Caenorhabditis elegans: one gene and its partners. The protein of the gene in region 1 purifies or fractionates together with the protein of each later gene. This does not show direct contact. Each region holds a gene or a part of one and is shown on either strand. Other genes may lie near its edges.

Region 1 (6,000 bases):
AGAGAATGATTTTGAAAAAACATTTTTACCAAATTTTGAAAAATAACAGAAACCTCATTCAGTCTACCTCTGGATCATTTTTTGTCTACCGTCGAGTTCAGAATATTTCAATTTTGGATTCAAATATCTATTTTATCCGTCTCCTAACCAAACTTTGATTCACTTTTATGGGAAAAGAATGACGGATATCTCGATAAAGTTAGGTTTCAAGTTTGATTTCTGGTTGCCTATTTTCCAATTTCCGCTGTGTCTTCGAGCATTTCGAGGATCCCGAGATTCGCGAATCTCAAGCTGAAAACATTGAATTGAAACCCAAAATCTGCCAATATTTGGGTTTCATTTGGTGAATGCGTTTCTCGGAAAATGTAGAAAATGGAAATTTTGAACTCTAAAGAAAGTGGATGAATAAGCTCAGCAAAGAGTTTTTCTATGCCATAGAACAAAATTTTTGGCAAAATAAATATGCTTTGTACACGTAGTAGGTTTATGACGGATTTATTTTGTAAAACGAGCTTTTCCAAAAGTCAGACTTATTTGTGCATTTGAACTGTGATTTAAAATTCAAATTTTTTTCTGACATTTCCACCCACATTTTGATCTATGTAAATTTACAAACATCTATATATAAATATCCTTAATGTTGTTTTTAAATAAACAAGTACATACAAACAGCAATTATTGAAAAGTTGACAAAAGCCATGGATCAGATTTAGTGTTTTGGGAATTTGCTTCAGTACCCTTCTTCAAAGAAACTTTTGAGAAGAAAATCGTCCCTTTCCAAGAAATGTGTCTAAACAGCTTTGTTGAGCCGTTCCAAGGGATATGTTAGAATAGCGATAGTGTTGAGATTTGAAGTATACTAATTTTTCGAAAAGTTTGAAAGCATATAATTTTTTTATTTTTTTTTTGTTGGCAGAAAATTTGAAACAAAAAAAAATAATCGAAGTACCAATTAATCCGAAAGTCTAGCGTAAAGTTTCCGAAAAGGAAAAAAACATTTCTAATCCTAAAAAGTAAGCATATCACCTTAGAAAATGATAAATGTATGTATGTTCAATGTTTTAATAGGGTTATAACGCCCACGTACCAAAAAAATATATTAAAGCCAAATATTATATAATTTTACCTTTTTGAAAATCTTAACACTCTGTATTACAACCCTAAAATGACGGTGTCTTAGGAATTCTGAAAATTTTTTATCCAAATGAAAATTTTCAAAAAATGTGGTTACAAATACCTATATTTCTTAAAGTCTATGGCTTTCTTTTTGTGTCAGATTTATAAATTTGTAGATACACTTATCTTCTCAATTACACAGATAACACGTTCTTGTATGTCTTACTCAGCATTTGGTGGCAACTTCTTGCTTACGTCTAGCCCAAAAATGCTACTTGAATTCAGAAGTTGGTAAAGCTTATGTTTTGCAAAATTGCAGCGCCCGACAATTTTTGAGTTTCGCGCCGTTCAAAAAACTTGGGTTGCATAGCGCCAAAATGAAAGCCCTATTCTTGTATTTTAATGCTTGGCTAACCCATTACAAAGGTTGGATCAAATTTGGACTAAACTAAGGCCCGAACTAAGCCGGTCAACTTCTGACTATAATACTTTCCGGCCACCTAGGAGCGCAAAATTGCTAACAAATTTCTTATTGATTCACAAGTATTTTAATTTCCAATGAAACCCCCAATTTTCACCATTATTATTACTCTGGCATAGTCTCTTGTTGGCTAAACTCATATTTTTTTCTTCTTAAGCCGCCGCCCAGGTGTGATACAGTTTCCTTTTGTTTGTCACTTTTACCTGCCTCTCCAGCTCACCACACCTTTCAACCGAACAGCTTAACTGTTCTTTGCACTTTGTGCAATCCAGAACTGACAATTGAGGTGTACGTATGTAGTAAGATACAAGATATCCCAGTACAGACCTCCCACTTCAATCCCGACACAGCGTTTACCACTGTGACGTTCTCTCTTTCTCTCCGCTCTCCCCTCATTCTGACGTTGTGTTGTTTGCCAGTAGGTCGCGGCACTCATAAAAAAGCTGTTGGAACTCTCGGCGACCTTCTTTTCTTCTGCTCGGCTCCCGGGGGCTCCCATGTGAGGCGCGCCCCGCGTACCATATGATAACGCACTTTGACCACTCACCGCGCCGCTAATGGCCCTTACTTATGCAGGCAGCCTCTTTTCCTGTGTTTTCACACATTTTTCGTTTTGTGACTCCTCTTTTTTCATCTTCTGTTTCTCCTTTCCGCAGTCTCCCTGCTGACTTGGCAATTAGCACTTATTTGTTGGAAAATACGTGAAAAGTGCTTGGTTTTTGTTTCAGAGGTGCACTCCTCTCAACCTAGATGCTCATTGAACTCTTCTCACACAGCGCTCCACCTGAGGATCCCTACTATGTACCTGCAAATGGTAAGTCTGATCAGTTGAACTTTTCATGCGTTTTTTTGGGGATGAACCATAGACAATGATGATGTTTTCGTTTGTGTCGGAATCTAGGAATAGATGCTTCTTGCAAGAGAACAAAAGAATTTGAGGAAGGGGGTGAAGAATTCAGTGGGGAAAAATGGGCGGAAAAACTCAAAAAGTTATGCGCATACCTAACGTGTGTGCATATTCAATCACCGTCTTCCTCTAAAATTTTGACGTCTACGTCTCCGTTTCGTCGCCACCCACCAGATTTTTTTTTCGGTATTCAGTGAAAAGGGGAGCATGATCTCAAAAACTCTAAACTCCCAAAAAAAAATCTGAACAACAGGATCTCACATTTCCAATACATATCCACATAGACAGTGGCGGCGCTTAAAGAAAGGGCAAAAACGGTTTTGTTTGTTTGATGGCTTCTCTCGCTAGGCTGAGTAAATCAAAACCGAAAATCTCTAGCCGTCACAGCCAATACCATAAGAAACGTCAAAGGTCGTACGTGTTAAATTTGATCCTCAATGAGTAGACTGTACCAGGGTCATAAAGGTGATTGGTCGGCGCCTATCCAACAAAACAAGAGCAGCACAATTCAATTTTAAATCCGAATGTTTAAATTTAACTTATTAATTTTGTCTTCGGAACATTTTTAGTAAAATTACGTCATTTAAAAACATTCGAAACCAATTTTACTTTAAAATTTTTATTCTAATATTTTAAGTTTACAAAATAAATAAAAAGCTAAATATAAGCTTTATTTTTAAATTTTTGAGCTGATCCCTACCTTTTCCGTAATTCTATTTCCCATTTTTGAATCAAAGTTTTTGAAACCTTTTCCTTTTCCCGACGGATTTTGTCAAAAAGTCTAGCTCTCAGAATAGCCCGACCTTTTTTTCAAACTGATCCAGCTACAAAAACCAAAAGGAAAAGATTACGAACGGATTAAAAAAAGAGTTGCAAATTCATTAATATGAGTTCAAAAATGGCAACTCATCAAGCGACCGGTTTTTGATGATTAATACTTTCATAAATTGAAACTCAAATGTTTTTGAGTAATTAATTTCTGCTATTATTTTCAAACAACATTCTTCATTTATAATTTATCGCAAATTCGTCTCCCGAAACCCTTAATCATGCATTTTTGTGTTTTTGTTTCTGAAAGAATGACAAAAATTTTCAATAATGCTTTAATAATTTCTGTTGCCAAAAATATTTGTTTGTGGGGGTTGTAATTTTGAAATTCCAGGTGAAAATATTTTGAAAAATCAAGTTCTAGTAGCAAGTTGAACTAGTTTTTTATTCTGAGTTTAACGAACAAATGTCAATTCACGTCAGAGAAGAAATATTTTTGGAACAATATTTTTTTTGGAAATTGTGTAATTTTCACAAAAATTTTGAAAATTTCTGTCCCTGTGTTTCCCTAAAATTGACATAATTTTTGATGAGTTCATTTTATAAAAATTTCTTGATGGTGTAAAAATTATAAAGAACAATAAAATTGTGTTTTAAAGAAAAATTATATTCAAAAAATCTTATTTTTAATTGCTGGGATCTATAAAACTGGGCAAAAAGTGTTGTCTATTTACGTTCAGGAAATCTTGACTAGAACATTTTGCGAAATAGCAAAAACTCAATTCAATAATTTTTTAAAGCTAGTATTTTTTGGAACCATTAACTCGAAATTTGAAAACTGGAACCAAAAAAGTGGGCGGAGTTTCCAAAACGCCAGCAAAAAATCATTGGCAGCTCGTCATACTTTTTTCGCTTTCCTCTCTCTTTTTCTCCCCCCGGCCAGCCTTCTCCTCTCTCCACTGACCTGTGATGTACCTTAACAATTTCAAAACGAACGACACATTCGGAAACATCTAATTTCTCACCCATTTTTTATTATCAGAGAGCAACCAATTGTTGCGTGGGGTAGTGAAAAAGAAACACGTACATACATCTCTTTTCTAGATTAATCTAATCTAGAAAAGGCGAAGGCCGCATCGAAGGCTTCACTTTGATTTACTTTTGTGCGTGCGTCTGCATTTTTTTTTCATTCAATTACAAATTCATCATCATCATCCCAATTCAATCAACCAATTTTTCAACAATTCAACATCTAGAATCATTTGCAACGACGGCGCTCACACCGCACTTCTCCACAACGAGCGTATGGTCGATACGGGTGCAGTTGATCCCGACGATGGGAATCTACCATTTCAACGGTGTCGCCTTGTTTCTGTTGCCGGTGCTTTGTCTGATTGGGTTGATCGGCAACTTTTTGGTGTGTGTGGCAATTGCGACGGATCGAAGGTTACACAATGTCACCAACTACTTTTTATTCTCATTGGCTCTGGCTGATCTTCTGGTTTGTTGTATTGTGATGCCATTGAGTATAGTGGTCGAGGTTCGGCACGGTCAGTGGAATATTTTTGGAATATTTTTTTAATTTAGGGCTAGAAAAGAAAATTCCTATACTTCCTATACTGTTCCTATACTGGAAAATGTACATAGGATTATTGTTTCTACAAAAATTGAAACTGTAATAAAGAAAAGAAAAAACCTCATAAATAATTTTGATCTACCTGTCCCACTGAATTATGGCTTAATTTTGGCTTAAAACTGAATATTTGGTGTCTACACTATATGGCCGACATTTTTTAGGTTACGCGACTTTTTAAATAACCTAAGAAAGACAATTTAAAATGCATTCGGCAGAGGTGAATTGTGTAGGTATAAGGTAGGCGTAGGTAACTTTAAAGCCTAATTTTTTTTGCTGTCATGCAAGTTATAGGGAACAGTGCAATATTTTAGGCTGATAAAAAAAACTTAACCCAAAATGCTTTTTTACTTAATTTTTTACCTTTTTCAATTTGTGAAAACGAATCAGATGATTAATAGGCTATAAACTAAACTATTGTTTGTTTTTTTCAACTTTATTTTTCCCTTCTCCAGGTGTGCAAATACCACCAGCGCTGTATTTTGTCAATTAGCTAATAATTTCGATGAATTTTTTTCAAAAGTATCTAACTATAAGCATCTTTGAGCGCATTTGTTAATAAATAATTAGAGGAACGAATAAAAAATGAGAATAAAAAAATCATGAAATATTGAGTGGGAAGTGTAAAGATTTTTGAACGAATAGAAAAAAAAAGTTAATTATATATGTAAAATTATAAATTTAGTTAATTGAAGATCGAAATAATCTTCACAAAAAAAAAAATTTTAAAAAGTAATTTCAGGGGTGTGGACATGGAGCGTGTCGATGTGCCTTTTGTACGTCTACTCGGACGTATTTCTGTGCTCGGCGAGCATTGTCCACATGTCCGTCATCTCGCTGGACCGATATCTCGGTATCTCTCAACCACTTCGCACCCGCAACAGATCAAAAACACTGATATTTATCAAAATTGCCATCGTGTGGGTTGTCACTCTACTTGTCTCCTGTCCGATTGCCGTGCTGGCGATGCATGACACGGCAAACATTTTGCGAAACAATCAGTGTATGATCTTCAGCAGATATTATATTATCTACGGGTCAACCATGACTTTCCTCATACCGTTGTGCATTATGGGGGTCACTTATGCAAAGACA
Region 2 (5,010 bases), on another chromosome or scaffold:
AATTACTGCAAAGACTTTTTTCTGCTTATCAAACACTAGGAGCCAATAAACACCCAAATTGATATTCAGCCCAAAACGACAAAACAAAAAAATAGGACCGGACTTTCCCGCCAACCTAATAATAAGAAATAAAAATAAAAACGTGCAAGCGCGCTCCATCGAACGAATACAATTGGCGGAAATTCAAAAATAATTAGGTGAAAACTGTGATTTTTCTAATTTTCAAAAATCATAAAAATTTTGGCCACATAGGCATGGTTTTAACCAGTTTTCACACTTTAGACAAAATTTTTTCATAAAAAAATGTGTTTTTTCTCGTTTTCGGCCTGAAAACGAAAAAATCGCTTTTTTAGGCCGACAAACGAGGTGAAATAATTGTTTAATAGGAAAAATAGCTTTAAAAACGATAAAAAATCACTAGAAACTACCAAAAACTTTACCGCGCGCCGAGACCCATCTGAAATAATCTCTGCGCCTTTAATTTTTCAAACTACTAACCGCTTCATCGCTGACACTGTAATTCCCAGACGAGAAAACTTCCTCCTCAAACATCAGAACCTTCTCGAGCTCCAATAAAGCTTCATCGAGCTTTGACTGCTCTGCAAGTGCCTTGATACGAATTGAGCTCGTTATTGCTGGCGGACAAAGTGTTGTTAGCTGAAGCATTTCGTCGACATCATTCCATTTTTTCAACTTCATCGCCGATGCAGCTGTGAATGCGGCAGACCGGCAACTTATCTCGCATGTGCTTCCGGTTTTCCGAACGAGTGTCTTTGATTTTTCCAGATTTTCTTTACTTGATGACTGGAAGTTCATCGCTGCGATAAGACATTGTCTCAGAAGACCTTTGATTTCACGATCTGCGCTTGAATTTTTAATCATTGCTAGCTGCTCGGCTGGAGCCACCGCACGGCCGAGGATCAGTGCTGCGCGAGACACGGCTTTTTTCACTGGCAGCATCTGTTTAATATTTCTATTAAAAATTACTAGTATTTACGACCGACTTTCTTGATTACCGAGATACGTTTAAAGCTGAAGAATACTGTTTCGTGTATTTTGTGTAACGGGAAACACTTGCGAACAAACAAAACATTTATCAACAAGAGTTTACTTAGAATTCTCCACGGGCCAACTGGCGGCGTTGCTTTCTCTTCGACTCCTTCTTGACTTTTGGTGCGGCATCATCGGTTGGCTTGGAGACAACATCCTCCTTCTCGGCCAAGATGACCTCGATGTGGCATGGGGAAGACATGTATGCTGAAATTAATTTATTTAAAGCGAGAAAACTTTTTAAAAAATTTTGAAGTTTTCAAATATGCACAATATTCTACGGAGATTTCAAAGTAAATTGCCGCAGAAAACCGACCGCTAAGACTTGCGTGTAGTTTTGGGCACACAAAGAAAAATTTGCTTCAAAGAGCGGAAATCAACTTACGGTTGATTCTTCCGTGGGCACGGTATGTTCTTCTGCGGAGCTTGGCAGCGCGTTGAACGTTGATGTGCTCAATAACGAGGTGGTCAACATCGAGCCCCTTGTACTCGGCGTTGCTCTCAGCGTTCCTGGAAAAATAAACAATTTTTTATCTTTCACTTAACAAAAATTTTTTTAAATTGAGTTGAGAAAATAGGTGTGAAACTCACTTCAAGAGATCGAGGAGGAAGTCAGCGGACTTGACTGGCCATCTCCCCTGGGTGGTGTTCCATTGCTTGGTTTGAGCGGCACGGCCGATTCCTCCGTGGAAACGTCTGAATGGAACGATTTCCTTGTGCTCCTTAACGTGGTTGAGGAAAGCCTGGGCGCGTCTGAGTGGCATGCCACGGAGAGCCATGGCGGCCTCGTGGGTGTTCTTGAAGTGAACGCGGAGATCGGATCCGCGAGCCTTGCACGACTTGGTGCTGTTTTCCGGAGCCCGGGAGTAGTGAACCTTCGTCATTTCGACAAGGAAGATTACCTGAAAATAATACAGTTCAGAAATAAAAATTAGAACGCAGGTCCAATAAAGAACGAGGAAAATTGCCGGAAAAAAATATGTTCAGTTAAATTAATTGAACTCTGGCTTCCCTAGTGCTACACAAGTTTTTTAATTACAAAAAATCACGACAAAAGTTGGAAAATACGAGAAGACCCTATTTTCTTAGTAAAAAACAAAAAAATTGCTAAAATTTCACGATAATTCCTAGTAATTCGTATTAAATATCACTTTACATTAAATTTTTCAATTATTTTTCGAAAAAAAACAGTAAAAAACGGCGCATTTTAGGCCAAAATTGAGTGAAAAAGAGAAAAAGGCCCAAAAATAATCGCGAAATGTATTTAAAGGCGCAAGCGAAACCGTAGTCCGCAGCGATGGGTCTCGCCGCGATCTTGTGTCGATTTACGGGGAGAGGCAACACTCATTGATTTTTATAATTTTTCGCGTTGTTTCGGATAGTTTTTCGCGAATTTCTTCGATAATCTTGCAATTTAAAATGTTTTTCTTTTGTTATTCGTCTAAAAATCATATTTTCAGATGATAAAAGCGATACTTGTCATCAACAATCACGGAAAACCAAGACTTTTAAAATTTTATCAACATTATCCAGAGGAGAAGCAACAGCAAATCGTTCGAGAAACCTTCCAACTGGTGTCAAAGCGCGACGATAACGTCTGCAATTTTCTGGAAGGAGGAACTCTCATCGATGGAAATGACTATCGATTAATCTACAGGCATTATGCCACATTGTATTTCATATTTTGTGTTGATTCTTCTGAAAGTGAACTTGGAATCCTCGATTTGATTCAGGTAAGCTATCCTATTTTTAAAAATCGATTAAAGTGTTCAGGTCTTCGTTGAAACTCTCGACCGCTGCTTCGAAAACGTGTGCGAGCTGGATCTAATCTTCCACGTGGATCGAGTTCACCACATTCTCGGCGAAATCGTGATGGGCGGTATGGTTCTCGAGACGAACATGAACGAGATCCTTCAACGCATCCAGGAACAGGACAAAATCCAGAAGCAAGAGGCTGGAATCACTGCGGCGCCGGCCCGTGCCGTGTCGGCCGTCAAGAATATGAACATTTCCCAGCAGTTGAAGGACATCAAGCTGCCAGATTTACCGTCGCTTTCGAATTTGAAAAATGCATTTTGACCTCGATTTTCTTGGTGCTTCTACTTACACACATTCCACGCTCATCACTTAAACTTTTTCCTCACGAGGGACGAGGAAAAGGGGTTTCTAGGCCATGGCCGAGGATCCGTCAAGTTTCAGCGGCAATTTATCTTGCTTTGTTTTCCGCGTGTTTTCTTTTTTTTTTCACAGATTTTCTCCCGTTTTTTCTTATCAAAACTTATAAATAAATATTTTTTGCAGGCGCTAAAGCAATTTCCAAGTGAAAAATCGTGTATTGAGTCGGCAAGTAGCGGTGAACGTGGGCATTGTAATATGATGGATTACGGGAATACAAAACCTAAACTTTTTCTGAAACATGATACATATGCTGCTTAGATGCTAAAACTACCTGATTTTCATATCGAGACCGCTGAAAAAGTTTTAAGGTTTCCAAAATTCAACTTTTTGTTCGAAAATCTCGACTTTTTCACCAAAAAAGTTGAATTTTGAAAATCTCAAAACTTTTTCAGCGGTCTCGTTATGAAAATCAGGTACTTTCAGAATCTAAGCAGCATATATATCATGTTTCGGAAAAAGTTCAGGTTTGGTATTCCCGTAATCCATCATATTACATTGCACACGTTCACCGCTACTTGCCGACTGAATACATAATTTTTCACTCGGAAATTGCTTTAGCATCTGCAAAAAAATATTTATTCATCAGTTTTAATAAGAAAAAACGGGGGAAAAATCGGTGAAAAACACAAGAAAACACTCGGAAAAGAAAGCAAGATAAATTGCCGCTGAAACTTGTCGGATCCTCGGACATGGCCTAGAAACCGCATTTCCTCGTCCCTCGTTCGAAAATAGTTGCAGTGGCTCGAGCGCTCATCTTGTATTTTTTGAATGTATAAAATTATTTATTTATTATTTACTCCTCATTGAAGGTTTTAGGGATTTTTAAAAAAGTAAAAAAAGTACAGGTCTTCAAAAAAAAATACTTTACAATTAAAATTTTTTTTTAAATTGACCCAATTTTCCATATTTCCCGCAGAAAATGGATTACGACCCGTCCCAATATCGGGAGCGAAACAACGCCTCCTGGGACCGAATCCGGCACGAAAACGCGGCCAGTGTGCGATCGGAGCCAGCTGACTATATGTTTGATTATAGTAATTATAATAATAATAATAATGTACGAGAGCTTGGGTCTCGCCACGAAATTGCTCAATATCCTCCCGCGCAAAATCTGGATTTTGAGCCTGTTCAAAGCCTAGATGGCCTGGATTTTGTGGGTGAAGAAGTCGCAATTCGGGGGGAAATTGAGGAGGTGGAAGACGATGAATCTGAAGACGAATCCGACGAAGAAATCGATCGCCCTGACATTTATTGCATGGAATGTAGATCAAAAATCGAGGATACCAACTCGCATGACTGCAGACTAAAGCCGAAGCTTTTCGAGTGCACAGAATGCCGGGAAAGCTTCAACTTTGAGAAAAATCTGAAAATCCACAAAATTCTCGACCACCTGAAAGCTACTGACTTTGTGAGAGGAACCATTTGCCAATTCTGCTCGAAAGACAAAACTCACGCGCCTTTTAGCCGATTTTCGGCCTATATTGGACATGTAAAAGTTCATTTAAAATCCGATGATTTGGAGTGTGAGCAGTGTGGCAATGAGTTTGAAAATGAGGTAAAAATTGAGGATTTTCTTAGGAAAAATTACAAATTTTCGGTGAAAATTCTAGGGAAATTTGACAAAAGTCCATTTTTCAGTAAAAAAGTGCAAGAAAAAAGTCAGTTTTTCGTGAAAATTAAACATTTTAGGTTAATTTCTGTTAATTTTCTTCAAAAATTCCCCGATAATTGACTTTTCGAAGGAATTTGACCTAAAATCGACAAAATTCCAATTAAAAAAAT
Region 3 (4,600 bases), on another chromosome or scaffold:
ATTCCCGCGATTCTCGGAGATCAAACCGATATAGGACACTCTGACACCACGTGTATTTTGAGATATCAATATTGCAATAATCATACAAAAATTGGAATATTTTGAAAAAACTCAACGTTAAATATAAAAAATGTTAAAATTGGAACTACAATTGCGAGTACGGTAGCTGGAAAGTTGTTGGCGTGCCAAGACCCAGAAATTTGCATAATTTTAATTCAAATGCCGATATTTCTACAATATACGAAAATTTTCTTAAATTTTTCCAGTTTCATCCCGGGCTAAAAAGTGTTATTTTTATTTCTCAAAATATAATTAACGATTTTCATTCCAGGCCCATTCGACTTGCTTTCCTCCAACACTGGTCTGACACCTTCTGGTCAGCCAACAATGAACTTCGTTTCAACTCCAACCCCGATTCAACCACATCCGGATGCTGATCTCCGACCACTCTAGATTCCGATTCAAATCATTTTCTGTAGCGTGCATTTGTAATTTTCCCCGTCCAGCTCTCATTATTACAAAATTTCATACAATTTCCCGATTTTCTATCCAATTTCCATATCTTTAAATTCAGCCAGTTCTCTCTTTTCTCATTATAGTTTCACTTTTAGCTACTGAAATTCCCCCAACTTTCCGTTTCCAATTATTGTGATAAGAAATACATTCAACTGTAACATCATTTTCTTATTCTTCGAAACCATCAACTTCTTCACTGGTAAATCTTCAAGTCGATTTTCTCCATTTTTTTCTTCTTCAGTTTCATTAAATTCATGAACTTTCCTTACCAACCATCAATCCCAATGTCACATAAACGAATATTTTTCATCATGAATCATTTACCTCAATCAATCCAGATTTAAAATTACATTAAATCGGTTTTTGTGCAACGGGACGTTCAAAAAGGGAATAAAATAAATTGGGAAAGAGAAAATACAAAAAAAATAAATAAAACGGGGCACATTTACAAATAGAGTTCTTCTGGAGCTCCTTCCTTCTTACGGTAGAGCACATTTTCTTTGGACTTCTGGAAATCTTCCATCGTGACACGCATACGACGCTCGCGAAGAGCTAAGAGACCAGCTTCTGTGCACATAGCCTTGATATCAGCTCCACTCAACTCGTCCTTTGCTGTGATGAACTCTTCGAGGTTAACTTCTTTGCCGAGTGTCATTCGAGATGTATGGATCTGAAAATAAAAACTTCATATAATGTTTAGAAAAAATTGTTCCAACCTGGAAGATACGGCGCTTCGTTTTTTCATCTGGCAGGGGGAATTCAATCTTACGATCAATACGACCTGGACGAATGAGAGCAGGGTCGAGAGATTCGATGCGGTTAGTGGCCATCAAAACTTTAACATCTCCACGGGAATCGAATCCATCAAGTTGATTGAGAAGTTCAAGCATAGTCCGCTGAATTTCACGTTCTCCACCAGAGTTCGAATCGTAACGTTTTGTTCCAACAGCATCAATTTCATCAATGAACACAATTGATGGTGCATTCTCCTCAGCAACGCGGAAGAGCTCACGGACCATCTTTGGACCATCTCCGAGGTATTTCTGAATAAGTTCCGAACCAACAATACGAAGGAAAGTAGCTGACGTCTGATTAGCAACAGCCTTGGCAAGTAGCGTTTTTCCAGTACCAGGACAACCGTATAGAATAACTCCCTTTGGAGGCCGGATTCCCATCTCTTCGTAGTATTCAGGATGAGTCAGTGGAAGCTCAACTGCTTCTTTAATTTCTTGAATTTGCTGATCAAGACCACCAACATCGGCATACGTTTCTTGTGGTGCTTTTTCGAGCTTCATGACAGACACCATAGGATCTGTATCATCGGAGAGAACTCCGATGACGGCGTGATTCTTGTGGTTGAGAAGGACTGAACATCCCGGCTCGAGTTGTTCCTTGTCGACGAATGACATGATGTTGACGTAATGCTCACTTCCGACGTTCTAAATATTGAAATAAGAAAATATTATCGATATATTGATTCTTACAGTTGAAACAATGGCGTGCTGATCATCGATAATTTCCTCAAGTGATCCGACTGCCATTGGTGTTCCACGGAGCTCGTCCACCTTGGCGCGCTCTTCTTCTTGTCTCTCCTCTTGTGGCTTCAAACGCTCCTGGTTTTGAATGAATTCTTGCTCCATCAACAAATAATCCTTGATTCTTTCGCTCTTCAGCAACTTCAGACGGCATCTGGCATGTGGTGTGACTAAAACCGAATCATCAGTTAAAATACACACTAGATTGAAACTTACCAGCTGGAAGTTTGCTAGCGGCGTCAGGTCCCTTAGACCCCTTCTTCTTCTTTCCAATCCTAGATGGAATCGGTGCCTCATATTTCTTCTTTTCCTTCTTCTCTCCATCTCCGGCACCGCGGTCATTTCCTCTTCCACCGAAACCTGACTGTTGTTGCCCCATTCTAGAAAATAATGATTTTATATGAAAAATAATAAGTCCACGTTTGAAAAAGAAAACAATTGAAAGATATAAAATAAGTAGAACGAAGAATGATTTAAAAAAATACAGCGTTGATGATGACAATGCAAGCGCGCTCTGGTGAGAACTAAACAACGCGCGGTTTCGTATTTTCGGAGCTTCGTTGTTTTTATTGACGAAGCCACATGTCTGTTTTATTCAGAAAATCTAATTTTTCAATTGATTTTTAAGTATTTTCAGCGTTTTAAAGTTTGCAAACGATTGTTCATACTCTTGTTTTCAGTAAACATGATGCAATACATGCTTCTCTTCAGTCGCCAGGGCAAACTGCGGCTGCAGAAATGGTACACTGCTTACCCCGACAAGGTAAGTGTATTTCCTATTCATATGTGTAATTTCACACTCAATTTTCAGCAAAAGAAGAAAATTTGCCGCGAACTCATCACTCAAATTCTGGCGAGAAAACCGAAAATGTGTGCGTTCCTCGAATACAAGGATTTGAAAGTTGTCTACAAACGGTTCGTATTTTATATTCAAAAGTAACAACTCCCATTTCCTGTCATGCCTTAAAATTGTTCCTTCTGAAAATAACTTACAAGTTTATAATCAAAATTTCTTGAAAATTATAGTTACACACCTAAATCCGAAGTTATTACGTTTTTTATTCATGAAAAATATTTTGGCGTCAAATTTAGTTGTTTAATAGACATTTTTGTGATAAATGAAACAAAAACTTAACAATTCGTTCAATTTTTAATCTCAACAATTTCAGATACGCGTCTCTGTATTTCTGCTGCGCCATCGAACAAAACGACAACGAGCTCATCACTTTGGAAGTCATTCATCGTTACGTAGAACTCCTCGACAAATATTTTGGAAGTGTTTGTGAGCTGGATATCATCTTCAACTTCGAAAAAGCTTACTTCATACTCGACGAATTTTTACTGGCTGGTGAAATCCAGGAAACCAGTAAAAAACAAGTTTTGAAGGCGATTGCTGCCCAAGATCTCATTCAAGAAGAAGAAACTCCACAAGGATTCTTCGAGGATCACGGTTTGGGATAATGAAGATAATAGTAACATAATTTATTGACTTTGAAAGCTTCCGTAAATACCAAATACTTCCACCTTACTTTATTTATCCTGGCTATGTGTCTGGTTGTGATAATATTCATGTGAATAAGAGAAGAAAACATTCATTTTTCAATCTTCCATTATGTATTCTTTCTGTTAGGAAACTTCAATGCATGACTTGCATTATTTCTACACTTTTTTCAATTTTTTCTTTAAAGTTTTGAACTTTCTCAGGTTTCGAAGCGGATGATTATCACAACTCCGAGACGAGGTGAGCTAATGTGAATTTTGCCGAGTTTCCCGCACATGAGTGTAAAACACGAACAGGGGAAAGGTGGATTCAAGGATAATTCAACGGGGGGTAATATGCGAACGTTGGCAGTGTAACATGTCAGTTCGAACGGAATGAATGTAGGAATGATTGGCACCTCTGCCGGAATTGTCATTTGTTAGATTACAAAGCACAATGTTCACCTTCTTGTTGGTGTCGAATTTCAAAATATCATTTATCTGAAATTTCGATAAGTATGATTAAACTAGTCAAAATTGTTTCGATCACTTCCGTTTTCTCAAAGTTTAATCATTTTCGTACAGTAGATGTTTGTGTCCTCTTCATGTTTTCTGCCCAATACTTCTTCCTCTTCCCATCCACTATACTTTGCATTGTTTTTGGTTTTACATTGAACAAGGGCAGTGAAGGCGGAGACAGCGGGAAATGTTTCCGCGCGGATTCACTCATTCTCTCAAGTATCCATCAATTTGCTCCAGCACACACTTGTTCTTTCACCTAGTTTTTGAGTCGTAGTTAATTTTTGATCTAAAATCTTGGCAGAAAGCAGAAGTACGCATCACATTATTTGAATAAGTATTCGCATTTTCAATATTCGCAGTCCATGAGACCCTAGAAATCATAAACAAACCTCGCTATTTTTTTCAGTCTTGAAAATCAGCCAAAGAGTTGGTTCGAAATAACGCTTCCCAGTTGCTTTTAACTTTAGGAAAGAACGATTTCAAGTAATAACAATAAATGTATATAATTCAACGGAACTCCATTTTTCACTTGGTAGATTTAAATTAGC
Region 4 (5,958 bases), on another chromosome or scaffold:
TTTTACGATTCATATCTTTGCGCACATATGAGATATAACAAAACGGTCAACTGAATACCTGTTAATAATAAAAAAGCACTTATTTTTTGATTTAAAGATTTTTGATCAGACACCTGGTTTTGGAGTTACTGGCAAAAACATGAAAAATTAGGATTTTTTGAAAATTGGACCAAGCGCACTTCTATCGACTGTAACTCAGAAACGTGAGGAGATCCAACGTTGCACCAAACTGATAAATTGTAGCTTATAATATGTACATTAATGTTGTAATACATTACTTTTGTATATCTCTCATGGTTTCAAAGTTAGCACCGCTCAAAAATAAAAAAGACAATTTTGCAAGCGTTTTAGGCACTTCCAACAGATGTAGCGCTACCAATAAGCTATGCCTGAGTCTGAAAATTTTCAGTTTTATTTAACTAACTGTCTAATACATCTACGCATACAAAGTTTTTGATTTCATGAGGAAATAAAAAAAATCGAAAAAAAAAATTTTGTTTCGTTGTCATAGTTCGGAGTTTTAAACAACCTGGAAGTTGACCGAAATGGCTGATATCGTTGGGCTTGTCATTACTAACAGTCCTCTATACAACCGCAAAAAAATATCCAAGAAAAAATCAAAACTGGAAAAAAACGACAAAACTTATTGAACGACCTAATAGTTTGTGCTCGCCGCTGACTAAAATTGATAAGATAATTTTAGTTCTTATCTGTCTGTCTCCCGCTCGTACTGTTCCTCCAGTTGTTATTAGTCTTCTATGATTCTGCTAGATAATAATAAATGTTTTGTCTGAAATTGTCTGAAAATTCCATGCGATCACATTTCGAAGAGGCGGCGGCGACGGTTCGAAAAAATTCAAAAAGTCTGAGAAATCGACGAGCCGATCAGGGGTTTCTCCTAGCGCAGACGTCATTTCAGTTGTGAGTTTTTGAAAAAAAAGATTGAACAGATGAAAACGCGCTCTATTGCGAATTATCGGTGAATCTCATTAGAGCGCGCTTTCTAGAAGGTTTTAAGATGAACATTTCGAAAAAAAACGTTCCAATTTCCTTTTTTAGGTCAAACTTCTGGCCTAGAATTCCCTCTAGTCCCTCCAACACTTGTCGTTGTCCTTAATAATTCTTCAGTGCCTTTGGTCGATATATCCGTCTCCGCAAGCTGTGCTGCTGCACCCCTCTGTGCCGCTACTTTCCTGTCTGCGTCTCGACCCCTGCCCGCTCTATTTCCCTCATTTTCTCTCCGCACGTTCTATGTTTGATTCTATCTTTGGGGCGAGGAGGGAAGAAGATGCGTCGTCTTTTTCGTCCTCTTTTAGGAGCCCTTCTGTGTTTGGAACTGACGCAGAAGCTGAAGAGATGGAGGACGACGTCCCCATTTAATCCTTCACTCATTTTATCGCCTTTTCCCCACAAAAACCCGCGCTTTTCGGACATTTTTTTGGAATTTTTCGGGTTTTTTTTTGAGGCATGTTGCACCATGTTAGTTCCTGCGAATTTAAGGTTTTTATTTTATTGTGAAATTTTTTTAAAGATTTTTTTAAATTTTGAAAAACATTAATTTGTCTGTTTTAAAGCAAATTTAGAATTTAATTTACCTATTTTTTTCGGATTTTCTTCTATTTCTGGCCATCTAAACCGAAATTAGAATGGATTTTACAGAAATGCTACCCAAAATTAATTCATTTAAACATTTCCGGTTTTCTTGTGGCTTTTCGTGATTAATTTATTCATTTTTACCAAGAAAAAACAATAAAAATCGATAAAAACTTCAATAAATCGATTTATTCGAGTACTGTTTTAAAGGCGCATGACATCAAGATTTTGTTGGGTTTTGACACGAGTTTTTGTTTTGTGCGAGTTCAGGTTGACTCTTTTGTATTTTTCAATTAAAGAAATTGTGAAATAGGTTGATGAAATTTTAAAAACACTTTTTATTGTTTTCGTGGAGAAAAAATCAGATTTCGTGCTTAAATTCTGAAAAATTATGGTAAAAACCGTATGCCTTCTTTAAAGGTACATGGAGGAAGTTTTAGTTTGGGTCTCGAGGCGATAGTTTTGAAGATTATTTTATTTTATTTTTTGACGGTTTTAAAGCAATTTTTCTCTATTTAACCAAGATTTTTTGTTGTTTTTGTCACAAAAATCACAACATTAAATTTTTTAAAAATATTTTTCACAAAAATCACCTCACCGAACCCTTCTGCGTGTCATTTTTCACTCCCAAAACGAAAAAAACTTTAAAAAAAGCAAAATTTTTTCAGATTCGAAGAAATGGCGTTACGCAAGGTGCGTAGCAACATTGACCGGATCTTTGACAAGTCTCTGACCGACTTGATCCGCGGAATTCGCAATAATAAGGATAATGAGGTGGGATTTATTGGTTTTCCGGGAAAAAATCTAATTTTTTGATATTTTCAGTCCCGATACATCACTCAATGTATGGAAGAGATCAAGCAGGAGCTCCGACAAGACTCGATTTATGTGAAGGCGAACGCAATTGAAAAGTTGGCCTATGTGAGTTCCGGCGTGCCGAAAAACTTGAAAATTAGCCTCTATTCAGTGGAAAAACGCTCTAAAAATGAAGAAAAACACGAAAAATTGAATTTTTCACTTAAAAATCTGTAAAAACCATGACTTTTTATGTTTTCAGCTCCAAATGCTCGGTTATGACATCTCATGGGCTTCGTTCAACGTGATAGAAGTGATGGCTTCTACAAAATACACGGAAAAGCGAATAGGGTTGGTTTTTATTCGATTTTTGCTGAATTTTGACCTAAAAACTCCGGTTAAAACGTATTTTTCGATGATTTTAAGCCGAAAATTCAGTAAAAAATCAATAATTTTTCAGATATCTCGCCGCTGCACAAAGCTTCCACGATGAGACTGATGTCCTTATGTTGACGACGAATTTGATAAGAAAAGATGTGAATAGGTAAGGTTCTTGGGCGAAAAAGTGTGAAAAACTGGAAAAAATACAAATTTTCGCCAATTTTGAGCTAAAAAATGCGATTTTTGATGTTGGAAATGTTGAAAAAATGCAAATTTGGATTTTGGCAAGAAATTTCTGGAAATTTACAAATAAAAAATGAAATTTCATTTTTTTAAATTAGAATCTTTTTAAAATTTTATTTTTCTAATAAAAAAAACCGAAAAATATCATTTTTTCTGAAAAAAAAATTGAAAAATTATTTTTTTCTCAAAAAATTCAATTTTTTATCTAAAAAAACGATAAAAAACCATAATCAGAAAAAAAGGCAAAAATCCAGATTTTTCTTTTAAAAAATGGATAAAAAACACAATTTTTTCTCTAAAAAATCAAAAAAATTCAGATTTTTGCTTTAAAAAATACAATTTTTTATCTAAAAAATTGATAAAAAATGCATATTTTTTCTGAAAAAAAGGCAAAAATCTAGATTTTTCTGAAAAAAATTGATAAAAAATCCATTATTTTCTCTAAAAAAATCGAAAAAGTTCAGATTTTTTCCCAAAAAAAGGGGAAAAGAAAAAATATAGATTTTTATTTAAAAATTGATAAAAAATCCAATTTTTTCTAAAAAAAAACGGAAAAAATTCGGTTGTTTCTCAAAAAAAAGGAAAAATATAGATTTTATTTCCAAAATAAAATGAAAAAAAAACTGGAAAAAATAATATTTTTTCAAAAAAAATTTTTTTGCCAAAAAATCAATTTTTTCCTCAAAATATCGAAAAAGTTCCAATTTTTTTCAAAAAAAAAATCACGAAAAATTCAATTTTTCAGCTCAAATATGTACGAAAGCGGTATCGCATTGGGTGGTCTCAGCTGCTTCGTAACTCCAGATTTGGCTCGAGATCTCGCAGCGGACGTTGTAAATTTGCTCTCTTGCTCGCGGAATTATACGAGAAAACGGGCGGTTCTGCTGCTTTATAAGATATTTTTAAAGTATCCAGACGCTCTACGACCAACATTTCCCCGATTGAAAGAAAAATTGGAAGATCCGGATCCGGGAGTTCAGAGCTCGGCGGTTAATGTGATTTGTGAGCTGGCGAGGAAAAATCCGAAGAATTATTTGACACTGGCACCGGTTTTCTTTAAATTAATGACTACTTCTTCGAATAATTGGATGCTTATTAAAATTATTAAATTGGTACGGACATTTCGAGGCAGAAATTGGAAAAAATCGGTTGAAAATTGATTTTTTTTCCGAAAAAATCGTTTTTTTTCGGTTACTTATGCGAAAAAATTGAATTTTTTTCGATTATTTTAAGCGAAAAAATTGGATTTTTTTCGAAAAAAATGATAATAAAATTTCGATTTTCTTTAGAGAAAAAATTGAATTTTTTCGGATTTTTTTTCGATTTTTTTTTCAGAATTTTTTTGGAGAAAAATTGAATTTTTTCGGATTTTTTTTCGATTTTTTTTTCAGAATTTTTTTGGAGAAAAATTGAATTTTTTCGATTTTTTTCTAAAAAAAAGTGAAATTTTCAGATTTTTTTTTTGAGAAAAAAAGCTAATTTTTTTTTCTGAAAAATTGAAGTATTCCGAATTTTTTTTGAATTTTTCGCAAAAAAAAAATAAAAATCTGAAAAAATTTGGAAAAATAATGAAAAAAAAATTTTTTTTTACCAACTTTTTAGGAAAAAAATGAAGCAAAAAATTCGAAAAATTTATAAGTTTTTAAAATTTCAATGTGTTAGAAAAAAATGAACAAAAAGGAAAAAAAAGAGATAAAATAAAAATTTTCCAAAAATTTATTTTTTAATTTTAAATTTTTTTGCATTAAAAATCTGATTGTAATTTATTATTAAATCTCGAAAAAAGTTCCCAAAAAAAACGAATAATATTTTCAGTTCGGAGCCCTCGTCCCACTGGAGCCCCGACTTGGCAAGAAGCTCCTGGAGCCGCTCACAAATCTCATCAATTCAACGTCAGCAATGTCGTTGCTCTACGAGTGTATTAATACTGTTATAGCAGGTAAAAATCGATATTAAAATTTGATATAATTTTTTAGGAAATTATGAAAAAAAATTTTTTTGAAATTTAAAAAATTCGAAACAATTTTTTTTTTCAAATTATAAAGTTTTTTATTGGAATTTTTCAAATTTTAGAATACTAGATAAGTAAAATTTTACGAAAATTTGAAAACAAAAATTTAAAAAAAAAATTTATTTGGAAAAAAGTGAAAAAAAATTCGAAAAAATCAAAAATTAATTTTTTTTTCAATGTTTGAAAATCGAAAAAAATAACTCACAAAAAAGGTAAAATGTACTTTTTTCAAAAAAATAGAAAAAAAAATTAAAAAATTTTTATTCTGTGAAAAAAAATCAATAATTTTTAATTTCAGTATTTTTCAGCTTCAAAATTTGTCAAAGGTGCCAGAAAAAAATTTAAAAAATTAAAAAAAAATCTAGCAAAATATTCGAAAAACATTCTAAATTTAAATGAGCCAGTGGAAAAAAAATTAATTTTTTTAAATAAAAAAAAATAAATTTCAGTTCTTTTTAGCTTAAAATTCGCTGAAATCGGCTGAAAATCGCTCAGAAATTTGAAAATCTTTGACGAAAAAATAATTTTTTGCACCAAAACCGCCCAAAAAAGCTAAAAAATTCCAAATTTTCCACCTAAAACCTCCCAATTTTCAGTACTAATCAGCATCTCAGCCGGCGGAGACCACACCGCTTCCATTCAACTTTGCGTCCAAAAACTCGGCGTTCTCATCGAAGATTCCGACCAAAATCTGAAATATTTGGGGCTCCTGGCGATGGGAAAAATTCTAAAAACCCACCCAAAAGCCGTCCAAGCTCACAAGGACATTGTGCTCCGATGCCTTGATGATAAAGATGAAAGTATTCGAATAAGAAGTCTTGATCTACTTTATGGAATGGTTAGTAAGAAGAATATTGTGGAAATTGTCAAAAAACTAATGGAACACGTCGAAGCTGCCGAAGGAAGTCATTATCGAGATGAGCTTCTGAGCAGAA

Evidence for each region.
Region 2: the proteins of ser-1 (region 1) and aps-3 purify together in Caenorhabditis elegans (affinity purification with western blotting, with the first as the bait; one study listed by BioGRID). This does not show direct contact.
Region 3: the proteins of ser-1 (region 1) and aps-1 purify together in Caenorhabditis elegans (affinity purification with western blotting, with the first as the bait; one study listed by BioGRID). This does not show direct contact.
Region 4: the proteins of ser-1 (region 1) and apd-3 purify together in Caenorhabditis elegans (affinity purification with western blotting, with the first as the bait; one study listed by BioGRID). This does not show direct contact.

What each region holds. Positions count from the first base shown.
Region 1 is NC_003284.9:16,577,398-16,583,397, forward strand, and holds the start of ser-1 (G-protein coupled receptors family 1 profile domain-containing protein), read left to right. Parts: upstream 1-2,347; coding exon 2,348-2,411; intron 2,412-4,528; coding exon 4,529-4,822; intron 4,823-5,647; coding exon 5,648-6,000.
Region 2 is NC_003279.8:1,153,521-1,158,530, reverse strand, and holds aps-3 (AP complex mu/sigma subunit domain-containing protein), read left to right. Parts: upstream 1-2,510; coding exon 2,511-2,783; intron 2,784-2,823; coding exon 2,824-3,129; 3' UTR 3,130-4,017; downstream 4,018-5,010. Other genes in the region: Y48G8AL.7 (Origin recognition complex subunit 6), read right to left, coding at 499-960; rpl-17 (Large ribosomal subunit protein uL22), read right to left, coding at 1,112-1,257, 1,436-1,560, 1,642-1,934; znf-236 (C2H2-type domain-containing protein), read left to right, coding at 4,148-4,783.
Region 3 is NC_003283.11:6,015,239-6,019,838, forward strand, and holds aps-1 (AP complex subunit sigma), read left to right. Parts: upstream 1-2,731; 5' UTR 2,732-2,736; coding exon 2,737-2,814; intron 2,815-2,862; coding exon 2,863-2,966; intron 2,967-3,220; coding exon 3,221-3,512; 3' UTR 3,513-3,648; downstream 3,649-4,600. Other genes in the region: Transcription factor fos-1, read left to right, coding at 332-453; rpt-2 (putative 26S proteasome regulatory subunit 4), read right to left, coding at 962-1,186, 1,233-1,955, 2,001-2,221, 2,268-2,430; picc-1 (PAC-1 interacting and coiled-coil domain-containing protein 1), read left to right, coding at 3,768-3,792.
Region 4 is NC_003280.10:3,542,735-3,548,692, reverse strand, and holds the start of apd-3 (AP-3 complex subunit delta), read left to right. Parts: upstream 1-2,261; 5' UTR 2,262-2,271; coding exon 2,272-2,367; intron 2,368-2,418; coding exon 2,419-2,514; intron 2,515-2,650; coding exon 2,651-2,739; intron 2,740-2,848; coding exon 2,849-2,932; intron 2,933-3,757; coding exon 3,758-4,124; intron 4,125-4,827; coding exon 4,828-4,951; intron 4,952-5,619; coding exon 5,620-5,958.